Caenorhabditis elegans: one gene and its partners. The protein of the gene in region 1 interacts with the protein of each later gene in a pairwise test. Each region holds a gene or a part of one and is shown on either strand. Other genes may lie near its edges.

Evidence for each region.
Region 2: the proteins of npp-10 (region 1) and T24D1.3 interact in a two-hybrid assay, tested with the Caenorhabditis elegans proteins (one large-scale study listed by BioGRID).
Region 3: the proteins of npp-10 (region 1) and klp-15 interact in a two-hybrid assay, tested with the Caenorhabditis elegans proteins (one large-scale study listed by BioGRID).

The regions. Positions count from the first base shown.
Region 1 is NC_003281.10:6,013,173-6,021,972, reverse strand, and holds npp-10 (Nuclear pore complex protein Nup98), read left to right. Parts: upstream 1-2,410; 5' UTR 2,411-2,424; coding exon 2,425-2,638; intron 2,639-2,686; coding exon 2,687-2,887; intron 2,888-2,929; coding exon of another isoform or gene 2,930-2,935; coding exon 2,936-3,391; intron 3,392-3,437; coding exon 3,438-3,664; intron 3,665-3,709; coding exon 3,710-5,455; intron 5,456-5,503; coding exon 5,504-5,590; coding exon of another isoform or gene 5,591-5,605; exon of another isoform or gene 5,606-5,800; intron 5,801-5,875; coding exon 5,876-6,367; intron 6,368-6,489; coding exon 6,490-7,487; intron 7,488-7,534; coding exon 7,535-7,990; intron 7,991-8,040; coding exon 8,041-8,200; 3' UTR 8,201-8,526; downstream 8,527-8,800. Other genes in the region: Ubiquitin carboxyl-terminal hydrolase cyk-3, read right to left, coding at 1-359, 406-568, 615-879, 926-1,162, 1,212-1,328, 1,377-1,530, 1,571-1,641, 1,689-1,761. UniProt on the Caenorhabditis elegans protein: Nup98 and Nup96 play a role in the bidirectional transport across the nucleoporin complex (NPC). Required for the nuclear import of hcp-4 during mitotic prophase, this step is essential for centrosome assembly and resolution.
Region 2 is NC_003279.8:9,957,436-9,961,880, forward strand, and holds T24D1.3 (RING-type domain-containing protein), read right to left. Parts: upstream 2,661-4,445; 5' UTR 2,650-2,660; coding exon 2,564-2,649; intron 2,517-2,563; coding exon 1,710-2,516; intron 1,663-1,709; coding exon 1,506-1,662; 3' UTR 1,347-1,505; downstream 1-1,346. Other genes in the region: har-2 (RING-type domain-containing protein), read right to left, coding at 1-174, 385-531, 585-910; algn-10 (Dol-P-Glc:Glc(2)Man(9)GlcNAc(2)-PP-Dol alpha-1,2-glucosyltransferase), read right to left, coding at 3,064-3,883, 3,927-4,045, 4,094-4,269, 4,318-4,422.
Region 3 is NC_003279.8:5,576,279-5,581,772, reverse strand, and holds klp-15 (Kinesin motor domain-containing protein), read left to right. Parts: upstream 1-2,578; 5' UTR 2,579-2,591; coding exon 2,592-2,745; intron 2,746-2,876; coding exon 2,877-3,664; intron 3,665-3,711; coding exon 3,712-4,147; intron 4,148-4,194; coding exon 4,195-4,580; 3' UTR 4,581-4,703; downstream 4,704-5,494. Other genes in the region: ctnb-1 (Beta-catenin-like protein 1 N-terminal domain-containing protein), read right to left, coding at 1-318, 369-487, 739-983, 1,047-1,155, 1,200-1,403, 1,448-2,008, 2,051-2,107; rmh-1 (RecQ-mediated genome instability protein 1 homolog), read right to left, coding at 5,136-5,315, 5,358-5,453.

The DNA of each region.
Region 1 (8,800 bases):
CCATCTCCGAGTCGAAGTTCTGTCTTGCACAGCGCGAGAAGCTCATCCACAGTCATACTTCGTGATACTTGAGCACACGCCCAGGATGTCAAGGATCTTGGAGTGTTTTCTGTACCATCCTGGCTCTTCTTACGATCATGGCCCAGAAGGAGAATTTCGAGTGGATACAGTTCAAGAGCGGGCTTGTTGTCTTCAAAGAATTCACCATCCAGATACTTTCTTGTGAATTGTGAATCTACTGTCAGTGCACATCCGTGCCATCGGAGCCATGCTCTCCAAAGTGGAACAGGCACTCGGATGTAGTCAGATGGAATAAGATCGGGTTTCAGACGAGCTGATTCAGCTGAAATGCAAGCAACCTGAAAATTAATTAATTCTTTACTTTTCCGGACTAGAAAGTCAAACCTTGCTGGTCCAGCTATCTTCTCTTGTTCCCTTGATACCAGAATTATCGATTGGATTCGGATTTTTATCTGCTTCCAGGAAGGATCTGAGCTCAGCATGCCATCCTGAAGCTACAATGTTCCACTCGGAAAGTGGAAGCTCAGAGGCACGTTTTTCAAATTCGCTGAAATTCAAAGTTATTTAAACTGAGAATTGAAAGCTACACTAACTTCACAATTTGTAATTCCATTTTCCGTGACTCTGGTCTCAATCCGAGACAAATGTGTCCGATTTGAAGAGCCATAGAATAATATTCATTGACATATTTTTCGTTTTCCTGTGCCCATATTCCAAAATCAACGAGAGCAGATTTCCCATTCGATGATTTTGTGACAGTCTGATGTTCTTCTGGGACATTAAGATCTTTGTACATGTTAGAAAGTTCTTCGTCAGACAGAAGTTTGTCACAGTCGACGTCCCAGATTCGTGCCAACTCTAAAACAACTTTTTAGTTTCTCAAAATAATTTCTTAAAAACTCACGAGAAATTCTCCCTGGTAGAGGTCCACGACAAAGAGCCGAAAGTGTACAAACGAGCTCTCTGAAGTCAATTTGACCATCTCGATTCTCATCGAAAACAGCGAATAATCTCTCAGCATAACTATCCGGGAAGCATCCACCCAATGCTTGTTTCCACTTCTCTTCATTCAGTTTGCAGACAGCTCGATCACTGATCGTGGCGAACACTTTCTCTAACTCGATAACCTCGTTCACGGATACTGAAAAATGGTTTTTGAAATACGGAAATCAAGATAATTTAAATCTTACAATGCGTCACATAAGACATCACTTCGTAAAATGAGATATAGGAATCATTGAGCGGAATCGTAAGCTTAGGAGGACTCAATCCCCATGACGCGAACTCGTGATATTCTTCGATAAACCCTGAAAATAAATAATTTAATATTATTTCTGAAATGTTTCTTGACTGACTCGATTGTACTTCTTCTACTCTACACAATCCAACAAGAGATGAAAGCAAATTGTCAAAGGAAATGGTTTCAGCGCCATGAGAGAAGAAGCTGAACAGCAGGCGTCGTTTTTCTTCTGGTATCTGCGCGCCTCCGAGAACATGATAGCAGAATTCCTTAAATGGTGAAGTTAAAAAAATAATTAAAAACAGTTACGTCATAATTAATGCATCCATTTTTGAAGCGTTGGAAAGCTTGGCGAATTCGTCGATACTCCTCGTCCGATACTAAAAATTTGAGTTTATGTTTGTTTTGTAACATCCCTGAAACTCACTATAAGTTTTAGCATCTTCCGCACTGATAATCGGTGCGATAGCGTTCGAACGTCCAGTTAACGTGTTACCCATTTCGGATTATGGCATTTGAGCATCTGAACCAGATTTTCTTGCCGAATCTGAAAGAAAAAATGTAAAAATCAATTTATTTGAAAAGAAAAGCATTTGTAAAAGTTTTTCAGTGGAGACCGACTTTAGAACGATTATGGAAAACAGTTTATTCCAATAAACCCCACGAAAAAACACGAATTGCGGGAAAAAATAAAAGACTTGTCGAGAACTGTCAAAAACCCTCGCGCAGTGAGACAGTGTGTGAACTTAAGAGACGCAGGGTGTATAATGCAAACTCGCTCTGTTGCGATTTCAGAATCACTTCGAAAAAATTTTTGCATTCGAAATCATTTCGCTCATTTTTTCATCTCGAGTTTGGTTGTAGAAGTTGTTCTCCCATTTTTTGTGTTATTCTTGCACATTTTCAGTCATAAATATGTACCTGTAACCTGATCAATCAATCAATGTCCGTCTAGTCGCATTAGCGTGCAATTTGAGTGTAGAGTAATTCCGATTTGGAAATCCTAAAGTACATTTTCAAGTAAATGCTATCTTTTTGGTTGTATGAAAACTTGTGACAGCTCTTAGCAGAATGTTCATGACAACCGCCTTTCATTCACTGCAAATTATTACTTGCTCATCGCTTCATCTATAACCGTCTCATCAATTGCAAGTTTCAGCTAAATGTTCGGCCAGAACAAATCATTCGGCTCATCGAGTTTTGGCGGTGGCAGCTCTGGGAGCGGTCTATTTGGACAAAACAACCAGAACAATCAAAACAAAGGATTGTTTGGTCAGCCAGCCAATAACAGTGGAACTACTGGCCTTTTCGGGGCGGCACAGAACAAGCCGGCAGGATCAATCTTCGGAGCGGCCAGCAACACTTCCAGCATATTCGGTATTTTGATCAATAATTGTATGCGTTTGATTTATTTTAATATTTTAGGAAGTCCGCAGCAGCCTCAGAACAACCAGAGTTCATTGTTCGGTGGAGGGCAGAACAATGCCAACAGAAGTATCTTTGGGTCAACTTCTTCAGCAGCTCCCGCAAGCAGTTCCCTATTCGGTAACAACGCTAACAATACTGGAACCAGCAGCATTTTTGGTTCCAATAATAATGCACCATCTGGTGGAGGTCTCTTTGGAGGTAAACAATTGATTTTCGATAAATAAATTAATCTTGTATCAGCTTCAGCATCGACCGTATCTGGAACCACTGTTAAGTTTGAGCCACCGATCAGTTCTGATACTATGATGAGAAATGGGACAACTCAGACAATTTCCACGAAGCACATGTGCATTTCTGCAATGTCGAAGTACGATGGAAAGAGTATTGAAGAGCTCCGAGTGGAGGATTACATTGCAAATAGAAAGGCTCCCGGAACAGGAACGACTTCCACTGGCGGTGGGCTTTTTGGAGCATCCAACACAACAAACCAAGCTGGAAGCAGTGGGCTTTTTGGATCAAGTAATGCTCAACAGAAGACTTCTCTGTTCGGGGGAGCTTCGACGTCATCTCCATTTGGTGGGAACACGAGCACAGCAAACACTGGAAGTTCATTGTTCGGTAACAACAACGCCAACACGTCTGCTGCAAGTGGATCTCTTTTCGGAGCTAAACCAGCGGGCTCGTCACTGTTCGGATCTACAGGTAAGAATAAATCTAGCATCAACACAATTTTTAACCTTAAACTTAGCTACAACAGGAGCTTCAACATTCGGTCAGACAACTGGATCGTCTCTTTTCGGCAATCAACAACCACAGACGAATACTGGTGGATCGTTGTTCGGGAATACACAGAATCAAAATCAATCTGGGTCCCTGTTCGGCAACACGGGGACGACTGGTACCGGACTCTTCGGCCAAGCTCAGCAACAACCACAGCAACAATCGAGTGGATTCAGTTTCGGAGGTGCCCCAGCGGTGAGTTAAGATATCCTAGAATTTCAATATTTTATTAATTTTCAGGCGACAAATGCTTTCGGTCAGCCGGCTGCTGCAAACACCGGTGGAAGTCTCTTCGGAAATACTTCGACAGCCAATACTGGCAGTTCGTTATTTGGTGCGAAGCCTGCAACAAGTACCGGCTTCACATTTGGAGCCACTCAGCCAACAACTACAAATGCCTTCGGTTCCACAAATACCGGAGGTGGATTGTTTGGAAACAATGCAGCAAAGCCAGGTGGTTTGTTCGGAAATACGACGAATACTGGAACAGGCGGCGGTCTCTTTGGTTCCCAGCCACAAGCTTCTTCAGGAGGACTGTTTGGTTCAAACACTCAAGCTACACAGCCGTTGAATACTGGATTCGGAAATCTTGCTCAACCGCAAATTGTAATGCAACAACAAGTGGCCCCGGTACCTGTGATTGGCGTTACGGCTGATGTCCTCCAGATGCAAGCAAACATGAAGTCATTGAAGTCGCAGTTGACAAATGCGCCGTATGGTGATTCACCACTACTCAAATACAATGCGAATCCAGAAATTGATGGGAAGTCTTCGCCGGCTAGTACTCAACGACAGCTGAGATTCCTTGCTGCGAAGAAAGGCGCTCTGTCATCGTCTTCTGATGCACAAGATTCGTCGTTTATCATTCCACCAATCAGCAAAGTGATGAGTGATCTTTCTCCAGCAGTTACCAGGTCAGCCGATGTCACCAAAGATTTGAACTACACTTCCAAAGAAGCGCCACCATCACTTGCTCGCGGACTTCGAAACAGCACATTCAATCCGAATATGTCGCTGACAAATCGAAGTGTTCACGAATCAAGTGCCCTCGACAAAACTATCGACTCAGCTCTGGATGCTTCCATGAATGGAACTTCAAATCGTCTTGGAGTTCGTGGATCCGTGAGAAGATCGAATTTGAAGCAGTTGGACATGTCTCTGCTCGCAGATTCTTCGAGAGTTGGAAGAGAATCCCGTGTAGCTGATCCAGATGCTCTTCCTCGAATCTCTGAATCCGAAAGACGTCAAGACGTTGTCACTTCCACTCCAGCAGTTGACCCCGTTCAGGCTGTAATCCAGAGACATAATGACAGAAATAGAGATCCACCATCGTTGAACTTGGATACGACATGCGATGAGCACACTGGCTTGGAGCCGGTGTCTGCTGCAACTAGTTCAGCAGCATCTGTTGTGTCGACGCCTTCTGAAGAAACTGTTAATGTCAATTCGGCAGCAGGAGTGAAGCTTACAAAGCCCGACTACTTTTCTCTTCCGACAATCAATGAGATGAAGAACATGATCAAGAACGGACGTGTTGTGTTGGAGGATGGATTGACAGTTGGAAGATCGTCGTACGGAAGTGTCTACTGGCCAGGACGAGTCGAGCTGAAAGATGTTGCTCTCGACGAGATTGTTGTATTTCGTCATCGCGAGGTGACGGTTTATCCGAATGAAGAAGAGAAAGCTCCAGAAGGTCAAGAACTGAATAGGCCAGCAGAAGTGACACTCGAAAGAGTATGGTACACTGATAAGAAGACCAAGAAAGAAGTGCGAGATGTCGTGAAACTCTCCGAGATTGGTTGGCGCGAGCATCTCGAGAGACAAACGATTCGGATGGGAGCCGCATTCAAAGATTTTCGTGCAGAAACTGGAAGCTGGGTCTTCCGTGTGGACCATTTCAGCAAGTATGGATTGGCCGACGATGATGAGCCAATGGATGGGTCCCCTCCACAGCAAGCACTACAGGCATCTTCTCCATTACAAGTGGTAAATTTTTAAAACTCATTTTACCCTTTTACACAAATAGTTTTCCAGATCGACATGAATACATCTGCTCGAGACGTGAACAATCAAGTGCAAAGAAAGAAGGTGCACAAGGCAACGGATGCTCACCATCAAGAGGTCCGTTTTGAATGATTGTCACTCACTATAATTCAATCATCACCGTATTTTAATTTTCCTTCTAAACGTTTTGCTGTTTCATTTAAAAATTTTCTGCTTTCATTCTTAGCATTTCACATGACTGCTTGCCAATACCATCTAGGGCAGGCTAAAGACTCAAATTATTCTCGTTTATTCTTTTCTAACTCAATAAATTTGTTTTTAAAATTAGCCTCTTCAAATGGTATTGGTAGACAGACCGTTTAGGGTTTAATATGGAGAGCCATCAGCAGTTATTTGTTTCAGATAATTCTGGAACGAGTTCCGGCACCTGCTGCATTAGGTGATGTTGTGCCGATCATTCGTCGTGTTAACCGAAAAGGTCTTGGTGGTGGAACATTGGATGATAGTCGAGAAGAATCATGCATCGGAAATATGACCACCGAATTCAATGAAAGTGGTCATGATTCAATTATTGAAGAAGGTCAGCAGCCGGAAAAGAAGCCGAAACTTGAACTTCTCGCTGATTTGGAATACGAAAGCAGTCGATTCATTCGCAATCTCCAGGAACTGAAAGTCATGCCGAAGGCCAACGACCCAGCTCATCGGTTCCACGGTGGTGGACACTCTGCTAAAATGATTGGATATGGAAAGAGCAAACTGATTGATATAGGAATTGTGAAGGGAAGAAGTTCACATGTCGGATGGAGTGAAACTGGATGTCTTGTGTGGTCAGCTCAACCCCGACACAATCAAGTACTCTTTGGGACAATTGATAGAACATCGGACGTGAATGAGGTAATATTTGTGACTTTATAAAAGCCCTTCTGTGATTTACAGTCTATTTGTCAATTGGATTTCTAAGTACTTTTTTACACCGTTCTCTTCTATGGCCCATTTTTAATTTAATCAATTTTCAGAACACGCTAATCTCAATGCTTGATGTGAATGTTCATGTATCTGAAACCAGTCGCAAGGGTCCATCTTCACAATCCAACTCGGTTAAATCTTCGCTCACTTCTAACTTCGTCACTTATTCTGACTCATATTCATCCATGTTTGCCAAGTACATCGATGTCGCTCAAGCTGGTGGATATGATGGACATGTTTCTGTTTGGAAGTTGATATCTGCTCTATTCCCATATGAACGTCGAGAAGGATGGTCTTTCGAGCGTGGTGAAGAAATTGGAGAATGGCTTAGAACAGAAGCAGTGAAGTCTGTTCCAGACGATAGAAGTGCGGATACATCTTCAAATGGTGTTTGGAATCAACTCTGTCTTGGAGACATCGATAAAGCTTTTCAAATTGCGATTGATAATAATCAGCCACAGCTTGCTACGATGCTTCAGACTTCTGCTGTGTGCCCAGAAGCTACTGTTCATTGCTTTAAAGCACAACTTGACAACTGGAAGAAATGCGAAACTCTTCATTTGATTCCGAAGGAAACTCTCAAATGCTATGTTCTGATGTCAGGACTATCACACTACGAATGGGATCAAGACGGAAAGAATCATTCGATCAACTGTCTTGATGGACTCAATTGGATTCAAGCACTCGGTTTGCATGTCTGGTATCTTCGTGCATGGACTGGTCTAGAAGAATCTTACGATGCTTATCAGAAAGATGTCAATGCTGGCCGTGCCGCTTCTAATCGTGGAGATCTGCCCGGAGAACTCATCAAATTGGCATGTGAATCACAGCACTCAGTGGAAGTTGTACTTGACTGTGCAGCTGGAGAAAATCCCAACGATTATTTCCTTCAATGGCACGTATGGAGCTTGCTCTATTCGGTTGGATACCGTACAATGTCAAAGACTTCGGAAACAAGACTTCACAGAAACTATTCATCTCAATTGGAAGCATCAAGTCTCTCAAAATATGCATTGTTTGTTTTGCAGCACATTGATGATGATGAAGAGTGAGTTGAATTTTAGAATCTTTCAATTTATAAATATATTTATCCAGAAGATCAACAGCAGTTCGTTCCCTCCTCGACCGTATTGCTCGTTTCACCGACAATGATATGTTTGATTCTATTTCCGAACAGTTCGATATTCCTTCGGAATGGATTGCTGATGCTCAATTCTCAATTGCAAAGTCAGTCGATGATTCTACCCAACTTTTCGAATTGGCTGTGGCTGCAAAGAACTATCTGGAAATTTGTCGCTTATTTGTGGATGATATTGCACCAACTGCAGTTGTAGCTGGAGATCATGACGCTCTCAAAGCAGCATGCGCGATGGTTCGTCCTTTCGAAAATCAGATTCCCGAGTGGGGTGCGACTGGAATGGTCTACACTGATTATTGCCGATTGATCAATTTGATCGAAAATGATGCGGAAGAAGAACTCTTACAGGACGTGCTTGAAAGTCTGGAAACTCGTCTACATGCTCCTACAATCAGCAAGAACAGTCTTCAAAAGTAAGCTATTGGGACATAAGTTTTTTTTAAAACTATTTATATAATTTCAGGCTCTCTCTTCAAACAATTGGACGTGTTTTGTTCGAGTACCGTGCTGATAAGAATACACTTCCAGAGTGGACAAAGCTTCTCGGACATCGGCAAATGTTTAAGATCTTCCGTGATCGTTCGTCTTGGGGAATCGAAAGATTCACAATTGAATTTGACTAGACTAGCCACTTTTTAATTTATTCATTTTTCACCTGATTCTAATTTTATTTTTTTTATTTACATTTTCCTGCCCTCTCCGTCTGTCTTCCTCGTATATCATCATTTCCCGAATCGTCTTTTTATTACTATGAATATGAACTTTTTGTAGGATGTTATTACTGTTGTGTTCTATTCACATGAGAAAACTAGTACAGAAATTTAGAAATCAGCAAAACGATAAATTGAGTACTCGAATTTAATTTAAAATTCAATTTCCGACCACGCGATGATGTTAATCTAGTACATCTTGATAAAAGTTGCTAAATAAATGGAAAGTTTTCTTGAATAATTCAGTCTGGCGGATTTAGCCAGTAGGAATGATCGTTTCTTAATTGGAGTGGTTCGCTTCGTTTTACGAGGTAGAGCAATTCGGGAGGCCCCACGAAAAGGGGAGCAGAACGAAAAGGGGATCTGCAAAAAGGGGATCTGCGAAAAGGGGAGATACGAAAAGGGGAGCAACGAAAAGGGGATCTGGCACTGTGCCAAACGCTATTTTCCTCGAAGAAAACGATACAACGATGCTCCGATGTTACGCGTCGCGTGTTGTTAAGCGTATCTTCT
Region 2 (4,445 bases), on another chromosome or scaffold:
TCATCTTCATCATCCATGTCACTATCGTCTTCTTCCTCATCAGTATGAAAATGTAGTCGACGAGGACCGCCTGTAACTAAATTAGACCTTCTGAATTCAGATTCTTCTTCATCCTCGTCTGTTATCTCGCTGTCTTCCTCATCATCACTGAACACAACTCGTGAAATTGGTTCTCTAAAAAATGTTAATTTTCATAAGAAATGTGGTAGTCAAGGGTGTCACTTGATTTTCCGAAAAAAAGTATCAAAAAGAACATTAACAAATTAAATTTAGTTTTTATAAGGTAATGTTATTTTCTTCTAAAATAAGGAAAAATGATATTTTTTTGAAGTATCGGGAAAACGAAAAACCCACACACCCTTGATGCGAGAAACTGTGGTTTACCGTCTTATTCTTGAAGCGATTTGGTGGCCTTCATGTGCTCGATGATAATTTTCTTCCTCTTCGTCATCCTCTTCATCTTCATCACTCATCTCAGAATCGACATCTTCTTCGACATTAAAAAATACAGATCGATGGCTTGTTGGTACTCTGAAGAACTATATATTTCCAATATGCTCAAACAAAAATAAGTTAGAACTCACCTTACGTGTTGTGATGCATTTCTATTATCTATTCTGTCAGTTTCTCTTGGTGCAGAATATGTAGCATCATCGGAAAATTCTTCCTCTTCTTCATCCATCATTTCTTCATCGTCATTATCGCTGTCCAAATCCCAATTCCCTCCACCATTCGGAAAATCAGGCCTTTCACCTTCATTTTGCCGATTTTCCTGCTCTTGAATTCTACGTGCTAGCTCATAGTCTTCCATTTGTTGTTCATATCGCCTGAATGCTCGTCTTTGCTCTTCCACATCAACTTCAGGAAAACCTTTTATCCTATGTTGACGAGATCCACGCATTGGATCCATCCAACTTGTTGACTGAAATATCAAAATTTGAAATTTTAGAGAATGCTAATACAAATAACAAAATATTAAAAAGGAATAGTTACACCTTTAAAAAAGTGTCAGAATATCGACGATCATTTGATTTATCTCAAATAACAATTTTTCTGCTGAAATATTTTCGAAAAATTGCTCAAAATGGGCGGCAAGTTGGTGATTGTCGAAAAACAAGCTCGATAATTCTTCAATACGATAATCAAATTTCAGGCTATTTTGGGCATTTTTTCCAAAACTTCAGCTGAAAATAAAGATATTTTCAGATAAATCAAGCGATTGTATATATTTCGGCACATTTTGCTAATGAACTGGAACAGTAAAAAATCACCGCAAACAACGAAGAAAATATGTTAGAAGTATCATGACTAAAACATAAGTTGAGAAGACATCAATATTCGAAAATATATATACATGCATTCATTTTTTTGTGAGATTGGATTAAAAAATAGGCAAATAAAAAAAAACAGGCAATCTCCGATAATATAGTAATCTTAACGATTTTACAAGCAATATAGGTGAGTTATATGGCACAAAACAATATGAGTTAAAGGGAATTTACAAATTATTTGGAAGTTATTCGGCGCTTGGATCGACGAAGAGAAGACTGTTTTCTCACAGAAATCACAGACATCTTCGATACGTCCGGCTTTCTTGCCCATTTTCGACGACAAAGCGGGCACGATGGTTTGGACGAACTGCGATACCAAATATCGACACATCTGAAAATTATATTTATGTTAATGTCGACAAAAACTGCTACAATTACTCTTCACATCCAATAATCTGTAGACAATTGTTGCATCCAAGCGGCGAAACCGGAACCTCGAAGCACATTGTACACTCTCCGTGGGAGCCGTCTTGATTGCGTCGTCTGGGATGTCGATCTGTGATTCCGGTAGATGTGCTCGGCCCTTCAAAGTCTATGGGAACGTGCTCCTGGTCATATGTTCTCGCATCATCGCCAATAAATGATTGATCGTTAGTGTTCGTTGGTGACGAATGATTTCCCGAGTCACCGCTGGTTCCACTACTGCTACTTGAAAGGTTTTCAAACTCGATTTCAAGGATGGGAGAAACTGCTCGACCCCTTCTTCTACGAATCGGTGTAATCGGTAGATTGGTTTGAGCAGTCGCTGACATTCTGATTGAGATTCTTGCAGAACTCCGACGTCTCAAGCCCAACAATCCTGTAGAAAAAATCGTAATCTCTGGCGATGTGGGTGATGCACGCTCTTGAGAAGATGATTCTGGTTGCTGAACAGTAGGAGGTACCTCTGGCTGTGTATTGGGTGCTGCCGGGATTTGATTTGCAGGATTATGTATGCGTCGGCTAATATCTCCAAATCTCTCCTGTTCAGGGTTTGCATATCTCCGACGTCTCAAAACGGAAACCGGGCTCGCATTGGGCGATGCTTGTGGTTGCTGAACTGGCGGAGGTACTGGAACTGGCGGTGTGTTGGGCGCTGCCGGGACTTGATTTGCATCATTATTTATATGTTGGACATCGTGATCATGAATAAGTTGTGCAAAAGCTTGATCGTTCATCTGCTGCTCAAACATCTCTAACGCTCGCCTGTAAAATAATCAGGTACCGAATAGGAATACTATTCACAGTCAAACCTTTGTTGTTCCAAATCGACTTCTGAGAACGAAAAGTTCAACAACGATGAACGCCGTCGCCGAGACCTGCGTGCTGGTGATGGCATTCCGTTTGAGTCTGGAAGAGAAGAGAATAATTGCTTTCAAAATCTTAAGCTGCGCTTGAAACAGAAAGTCTAGAAAGCATTAAGAATGATTTAAATGAAAAAAAAATGACGGTTTCTCAATTGAAAATGTTTTTAGAATCTGTAAAAATGCGAAACTAAGGCGCGAGAAAAATAGAACAAAACATGAAATTTCATGAAACGAAAAGGGCAAACTTGGTAATCGCTGCGAGACCCACGACTCATCTAATGTGGTTACTGTATTCGAGAAATTTTTATTTCTTTTTCGTTTTTTTGTTGCAATTTCTGAACAAATTCGTTCTCAATAAGAATAATTCCATAGAAAATAAATTAATTATTTTTTATTAAAAAACCCCGTAAGAAAAACAAGAAAATCAAATAGATAACTGTAAAATCCTAGAACATGAACCGTTGCTTGACGCCAGGTTCGTTGGACCATTCGAACGTTTTAAATAAGAATAAAACAAAAACTGCCGCAAAAATCACAGCTTGAGATATAATTTCCAAGAAGAGAAGTGATTTTCTAGAGTTATTTACAGTCGAAAGTCTCCAGAGAACATAAGGAATAATATAATATCGCATTTCGAATAGATGAGCTGGAACCAAAACGAGTAAAGATGCGATTATAAATAGAATTTTGTGGAATATATGCACGGACGGTGTCGATGTCGTCATAAATCTTAAAGAAAACACGTAGAGAGGAGCAAGAGTTGTCCGCATTGTGGGATTTGCCAAGAATCGCCTCCAGATGTAGAATGTGAAATGCCGATTATCAGCGAGAAGATACGGGTGATCATAAGAATAGTAGTAGACAAGAACTGCCACAACTGCTTGTAGAACTAATGATTTCATGTCGGTTAGGTGTCGAAGGTGAGATAACAGATTTGGGATGATTTGAGTCCAAGTGTGAGCCGCGCAGAATGCAACCATGTAGAAAAATTGAGCCACGTGGAACTTTGGTTGGTGAGCTTTTGCATCTCCAAGGACAATTTGGAAATCATTGAAATATATAAACATCGCAAATCCAATTGCAAGTGTAATGAATGGCCATAGAGAAAATGCAGTTGAAATTATGATCTTAAGATTTTCCATTTTTGAGCGGGACTTGTCAATTCTTGAAGCAATTACAGAGAACGCGTATATCGCTGCCCAAATGATATTTGTCTGGCGTGTCAGTATTGAGATTAGGAATAAGAACGCAGATGCAATTGGGTTTCTGAAATATCACATCATTATTTTCAATAGATGCATTGATTTACCCGATCGAAAATCCCCAAATAACTGAAGTGAGTGACAACAAATCGGTATAAAAAAGAATTGAAGACGATATCAAAATTGGAAGCATTCCGACGATTGATGCAGTCAGCCATACATCTTGCTGCAAATCGGTATTTTTCAAATAAATCTTCAAAGTTGGAATTCTTACTCTAACGAACATTCTCCGAAAACGGCAAAATGCTGGTATAGCGAAAAATAGAAGAATCGAGTTAGCGTATCTTTCATTTCCACCACATAATGGCATTGAAATAACATAAAGTGCCGGTGGAGTTGTAATTAATGGATTCCAGCTGTAATTTCCTGAGCAATATGATCTAGTTTGAGCTGAAAATTAGGGAAATTGTAGACAGAATCTCGACAATTGTGTCTCACTAATGTGGAAGATCTCATCCATATACGGCTCTGGAACATAGTGGTAGACAATTGTTGTCAGCAGAACGTGAATGCAAGAAAACGAAGCACCAAGTAGAAAATCGCCTAAACTTGAGAAAATTGGTTAA
Region 3 (5,494 bases), on another chromosome or scaffold:
TTACTGAGCATAACGAGGACTCTTTCTTGCTCAATATTAGCATCATCACCAAGATTGTCACTGTATTCTTGAATAATTGGACACAACATCAAATCCAATCGATTTTGGCTCATTTTCATTTGGAAAAGCTTCTCCTCTCTGAGACGAGCCGATTCAACACCAACTGCCACTTCACCGAGTATAAGAGTAAGACGTTGAAGCGTGTAGAGACCATTGTCTAGTTTATCCAAATATGCTCGATCTGGATCATCATCTTCTGATGTTCCAGCTTCTTGTGATTGACGCTTCTTTTTCAATTCAAATCGTTGAACTTTTTCTCTGAAATTGAAATAAAATTATTTTTCATAACGGAATGTGCTTCAACTCACTTGTACTTCAAAAATAGCTCCACAGCTCTGTCCACTTTCTCATGTTCGTGCTCAACAAATTTTTGAACAATTCGTTGACGGTGGTTCTCCGAACATGCTGCCAGCAGTGAAGAGAGAATCTAAAAAATTATTATTTATCATCAAAAGAACATTTCCTACAATATAAATTAGTCACTTTTTGTAAAATGTAATTCGTAGAAATAGATTTTTCGATTTTTAATTTAATTATATGTTCGATAAGTATCAAAAAGTGCAAGGCAGATTTGAAAACTCAATTTTTGTTCAAAAAAGGAGAAAAACCGAAAGTCCGATTTACCAGTCCAATTTTGAAGCTAAAACATTCAAAATAATATCACAACATAAATCTTACCGTACAAACGTGTTCTTCATGTTCATCAGGTGTCGTATCCTTTCTTTTTGTCTTTGAAGGTGTTCTCATGAATAACGGGAAAATTGTTCTCAATCCGAGCATTTCGACAAGTTTATTGCAATTTTCGATTCCCTCGTCTCCTGATGTTGCATGGTTCAGAACTTTCAGAGCACTTTGTCTTGCTTGTTTCTTCTCTCGGAGCATCAAATTCATCAATTGAAGACCTTCTCCGTCGAGGAACTTTTCTGAAAACATTTATTTTGAACAAGAGCAATTTTTTTGGTGTTTATATTCAAAAAAATTCGTACTTCGATTAGCCGGATGCATAAGTGCGGCACAAAGTGAGTTGAATAGATTTTCCATGTATTCTCGTTCGTCTACATTTGCTGGATCGTTCTTTTTGTACACAGCAATGGTCTTAAAAGTTCAATTTATTCTTGATACTTTGTTTGGCTACTCACTCTCAATAAAATATCGATGCCATCAATTTTCTCTGTCAGCTTTGCCTTTGCAGTATCAGAAGTCTGCAATATGACTGAAAGAAGTTCCGAAGCGTACATCTTATTCGCATCAAATGCACCTTTCTGAAAGCATCTTTTCAGAAGCCAAACCGTGAATCCGTGCTTTACGCATTCTTCAGTAATGTCATCGCGGAAACCAATCATCTGAAAATATATTGTTTTGTTTTTCAAATATCGATTTTTCTTACATTGTCCACAACTCCGAGTGCATTATGGACGCCATCCGCTTCATCTTTGACGCTTTCATCGAGCCTCTCTACGCATGCTAACAAAGTTGTGATAATCGATCCAGACACAAGACTTTCAATAAGTTCAGCTGCTCCATCTTCTCCTTCGTTCATCACATCATCGTCTGTAAGTTCTCTCAAGAGACTAAGTGTTGCACACACAATATCAGTATTCTCGTGTCCTAATAATTGAAGAAGAATTTCAACTCCGTTGACTTCAACAAACGATCCATAAAGGTCTGGTTGAGAAGCCAGACTATGCATTTCTTGAATTGCCTTGTCTAATTCAATTTCCGATTCCATGAATTTCTGAGCATCATCTGGATTTTTAACTCTTTGTTCTCGATTTAATCGCATCTTTTTGTCAAGTTGAATAACAAGTTTCTTAACTTGCACATCGTCGAGAGCCACATAATTTGATTGATCGGCTTCCAAAGCCGCAAGAATATCTTCTGGTTTTGGCTGGCCAGCTTGAGATGAAGAAGAAGCACTATCGTCAAAACGAGATTTCTTTCTTGCTGGCTGTAAACTATTTATAATCAAAAAAATTTAATATCAATTTACCTGATACAAAGAAGATGTCGATGATTTGATAATCTCTGTTACATCGATAGAAGTCATCTGGAAACAATCATTTACCAACCTATATTTTTAAAAAACCACAGAAAAATCAAAATATTGAAGAAAGTGTATAAAAATTTTCGCAAGCAAATATTTTCAAATTTTTTTTTTGCAATTACTTTGGTGTAGATATACGGTAAACAAGGCGCGCACCGGAATATCGGAGTGTCGCTCACATTATAATTTCTAGACCTGCATTTTATATATTTGTTTGTATAACCTGATATCAGTGCAATTATGGATAAGCCTTCTGTGTTATAGTTATAAATAATTTTTACGGCATTCTTTATGCCTTTTGACAACAAAATAATTATATCCGACAATTCTGGATGAGCTCAACATGATATAAATTTTTGATCTAATACCGTAGTTGACTACGGTAATCCATTCGATTTGGCGGGAATTTTCAGAGGCGGAGTTCAACTTTGAGCGGGAAAATGTCAATGAAGGGGCTGATTTCCTCATTTTTGTCCCAAATTTCGCGATGAATGTCGCTCGAAGAAGAAGTGGCCTGTTTCGGTCGACTATCGGAGCAACGCCGAAGATCACAAGAGGACGTGCTGCCGCGCCATCCACCAAAGAAGCCAATTCAACAACAATCCCAAGACAGTCGGCTCCTGGAGGAATAACGATTGGAGGTAAATTTGTCATTTGTGTTTTTAAATAACTTCCTCGTGATTTCAAAGTGTTCACACTTCTAAATAAAACATGTTTTTGTTTTTGTTTAAAACCTTTTTTGTTAACAACTACTTTAATTACGAGTTTTCAGCCGCTGCTCGTCGTCCTCCGTCTCGTTTGCCTACCCCCACAACGCCTGCAACTGGTAGAGCATCGTTGCCAGAACGATCAGCGATGGCCAAACCAGCGTCGTGTTCCCGTCCCATACCAACGATGCAATCCACCGCGAGCCGTATTTCCACACTGACGGCAGCTTCTACGTTTCGACAACTTCGCACAGGTCGTCCACCGCCACCATCCACTCAACGCTCAACTGCGACTTCTTCCCTGAAGCCGTCGGTGACAAGAGCCCGACCAGTGGCACAGAAGCCTATTCTCCCTTCTAAGATGGCGCTTCTTGAAGAGAAAATTGCGCAGCTCGAGAGTGCGATGGCTGAGGCTACCGACTTTGCTGAACATCAGAAGAGCAAGATCCAAATCCTGGATGGCAAACTTGAAGGAGCGGATCGCAAGCTGATTTCACTGCAAGATCAATTGAGCACGCTGAAAGAAGTCAACAAGGCGAAAGTGGAGGAGTGCGAGGATTATCGTGTGCACAACAACGATCTCCGGGATCTGCTCAACGAAAAGGAAGCTGAGTTGAGAAAGTTGCACAACGATGTTGTCGATTTACGCGGTCAAATTCGTGTGGCTGTTCGCGTTCGGCCGTTGATCAAATCTGAAGCCGACGCCTCGAGTTCTGCAATTGAGTATCCGGCTATCGATACCATCAGAATCAATGAAGGCTCGAAGCCTGGAATTGTGGTCAAATTCGAGAAGGTTTTCACGCCAGTCTTCTCGCAGAAGGAAGTGTTCGCGAACGTCGAGGAGTTCATTCGGGTTAGTTTCAAAATATAATATTAATAATTGAAAATTGATAATTTCAGTCGTCACTGCATGGGTACAACGTCGGATTGATTGCCTATGGACAAACCGGAAGTGGCAAAACTCACACGATGCGAGGAGGAAATGGTGAAGAGGAAGGAATCATCCCGAGAGCAGCTGCATTTCTGTTCGCCGAATCCAGAAAGCTCGAGTCACTTGGATGGAAATTCGACTTCTCGTTGTCTTTCCTAGAAGTCTACAACAACGTGGCATACGACCTTCTCAGTGACCGCGCCGTTGTCCAACTTCGTTTGAACGATCAAACGGTTTCCATGATTGGGCTCTCCGAGCACACGATTTCCAATGTCTCGGATGTGGCTAGACTTCTTCGTGTAGCAGACGGTGGCAGGAAGACGGCGGCGACAAAGTGCAATGAGAGCTCGTCTCGTTCGCACGCCGTTTATATGTGGAAGATTACAGCTCATCAGCCATCAACTGGTAACTTTCGAAAATAAAAATAATTAATTCACAATATTGATATACAGGAATTTCAACATCGTGCCAGCTCAAACTTGTGGATCTCGCAGGATCCGAACGTGCCAAGGAGTCTGGTGTCAGTGGCGACCAGTTCAAGGAGATGACTAATATCAACCAGTCGTTGTCTATCCTTCAGATGTGCATCAGCCAGCAAAGATCCCAGAAGGGACATGTTTCATATCGCGACAGCAAACTGACACAAGTGCTGATGGACTGCTTGGGACGTGGCAACTCGAAGACTATGGTTGTGGTCAATCTCAATCCATGCAACGAGCAAGCGACAGAGTCCAAGAGAAGCATCGAATTCGCCTCAAAGATGCGCAGTACTAACATCGGATCGGCCGTGCAGCAACGGACTCTCTTGGGTGACGTGTCCCAGATGTCTATGAACTAGACATATAATTCTATTCTAACATTTCATGTAAAATAACGTTATTTTTATTGCCTTATGCAAACCTTTTATACTGATGTAACCTAAATATTTCGATCATTAACAAAATGAACGAATTTCAATTTTACTTTGCGTTTTTTGAGTTTTAATCGTCTGTTTCAAAACAAAGGGAGATCCCGATAGGAAAAATATAGTCCGGTCTAAATGCTGTTGATTGGGTTATAAATACATTGTTTTGAGCTTTATGAGAATATTACATTTCTTACTGTAGTATGTATGTCTCGACCCGACGAACTTTTGATGAATTCGAAAATGGCATGACCCTTTAAAGAGTACTGTAGTTTCAAACTCTCGTTGTATCGAAAACTGTACAGTTTTCCATACAGTTTGTTTAAATTTATGTTTTTTGTTACATTTCTGTTTTAAAGAAATTTTAACGAAAGAAAAAGCTTAAAACAGTTGTATTGTATTTGGAAACAACAAAAAAACAAGAACAATTAAATAATACATGACTATATTGTGGTACACGTGAATTCAGGTAGCAAGCAATAGAAATAATTACAAAATATTGAGAGCATCAGAAATCGTTTTCACGTCAAGAATGAGCGGAATTTGGTTACGCTCTGGTGAAACCTCAACCCATAAAAGAAGATCAAGACGTTTGAATCCAAGAAGTTTACGTTCGGCTTCGCATTTCTTCGCACGTAGCTCCTCGACTTGATTTTTGTTGAATAAATTCTGAAAAAAAAAGGTTTACGAATAGCACATTAATTTTGTAACCTTGCACTGTTGAACATCAAATCCAAAAATTCGATTTAGAAGGCTCGTGGAAACGCGGCAGATAACATTTTTTACTGATGTATCTGTTACTCGTATCTGGAAAATAAAGTATTTAGAAATGAATTATTTGGACAATA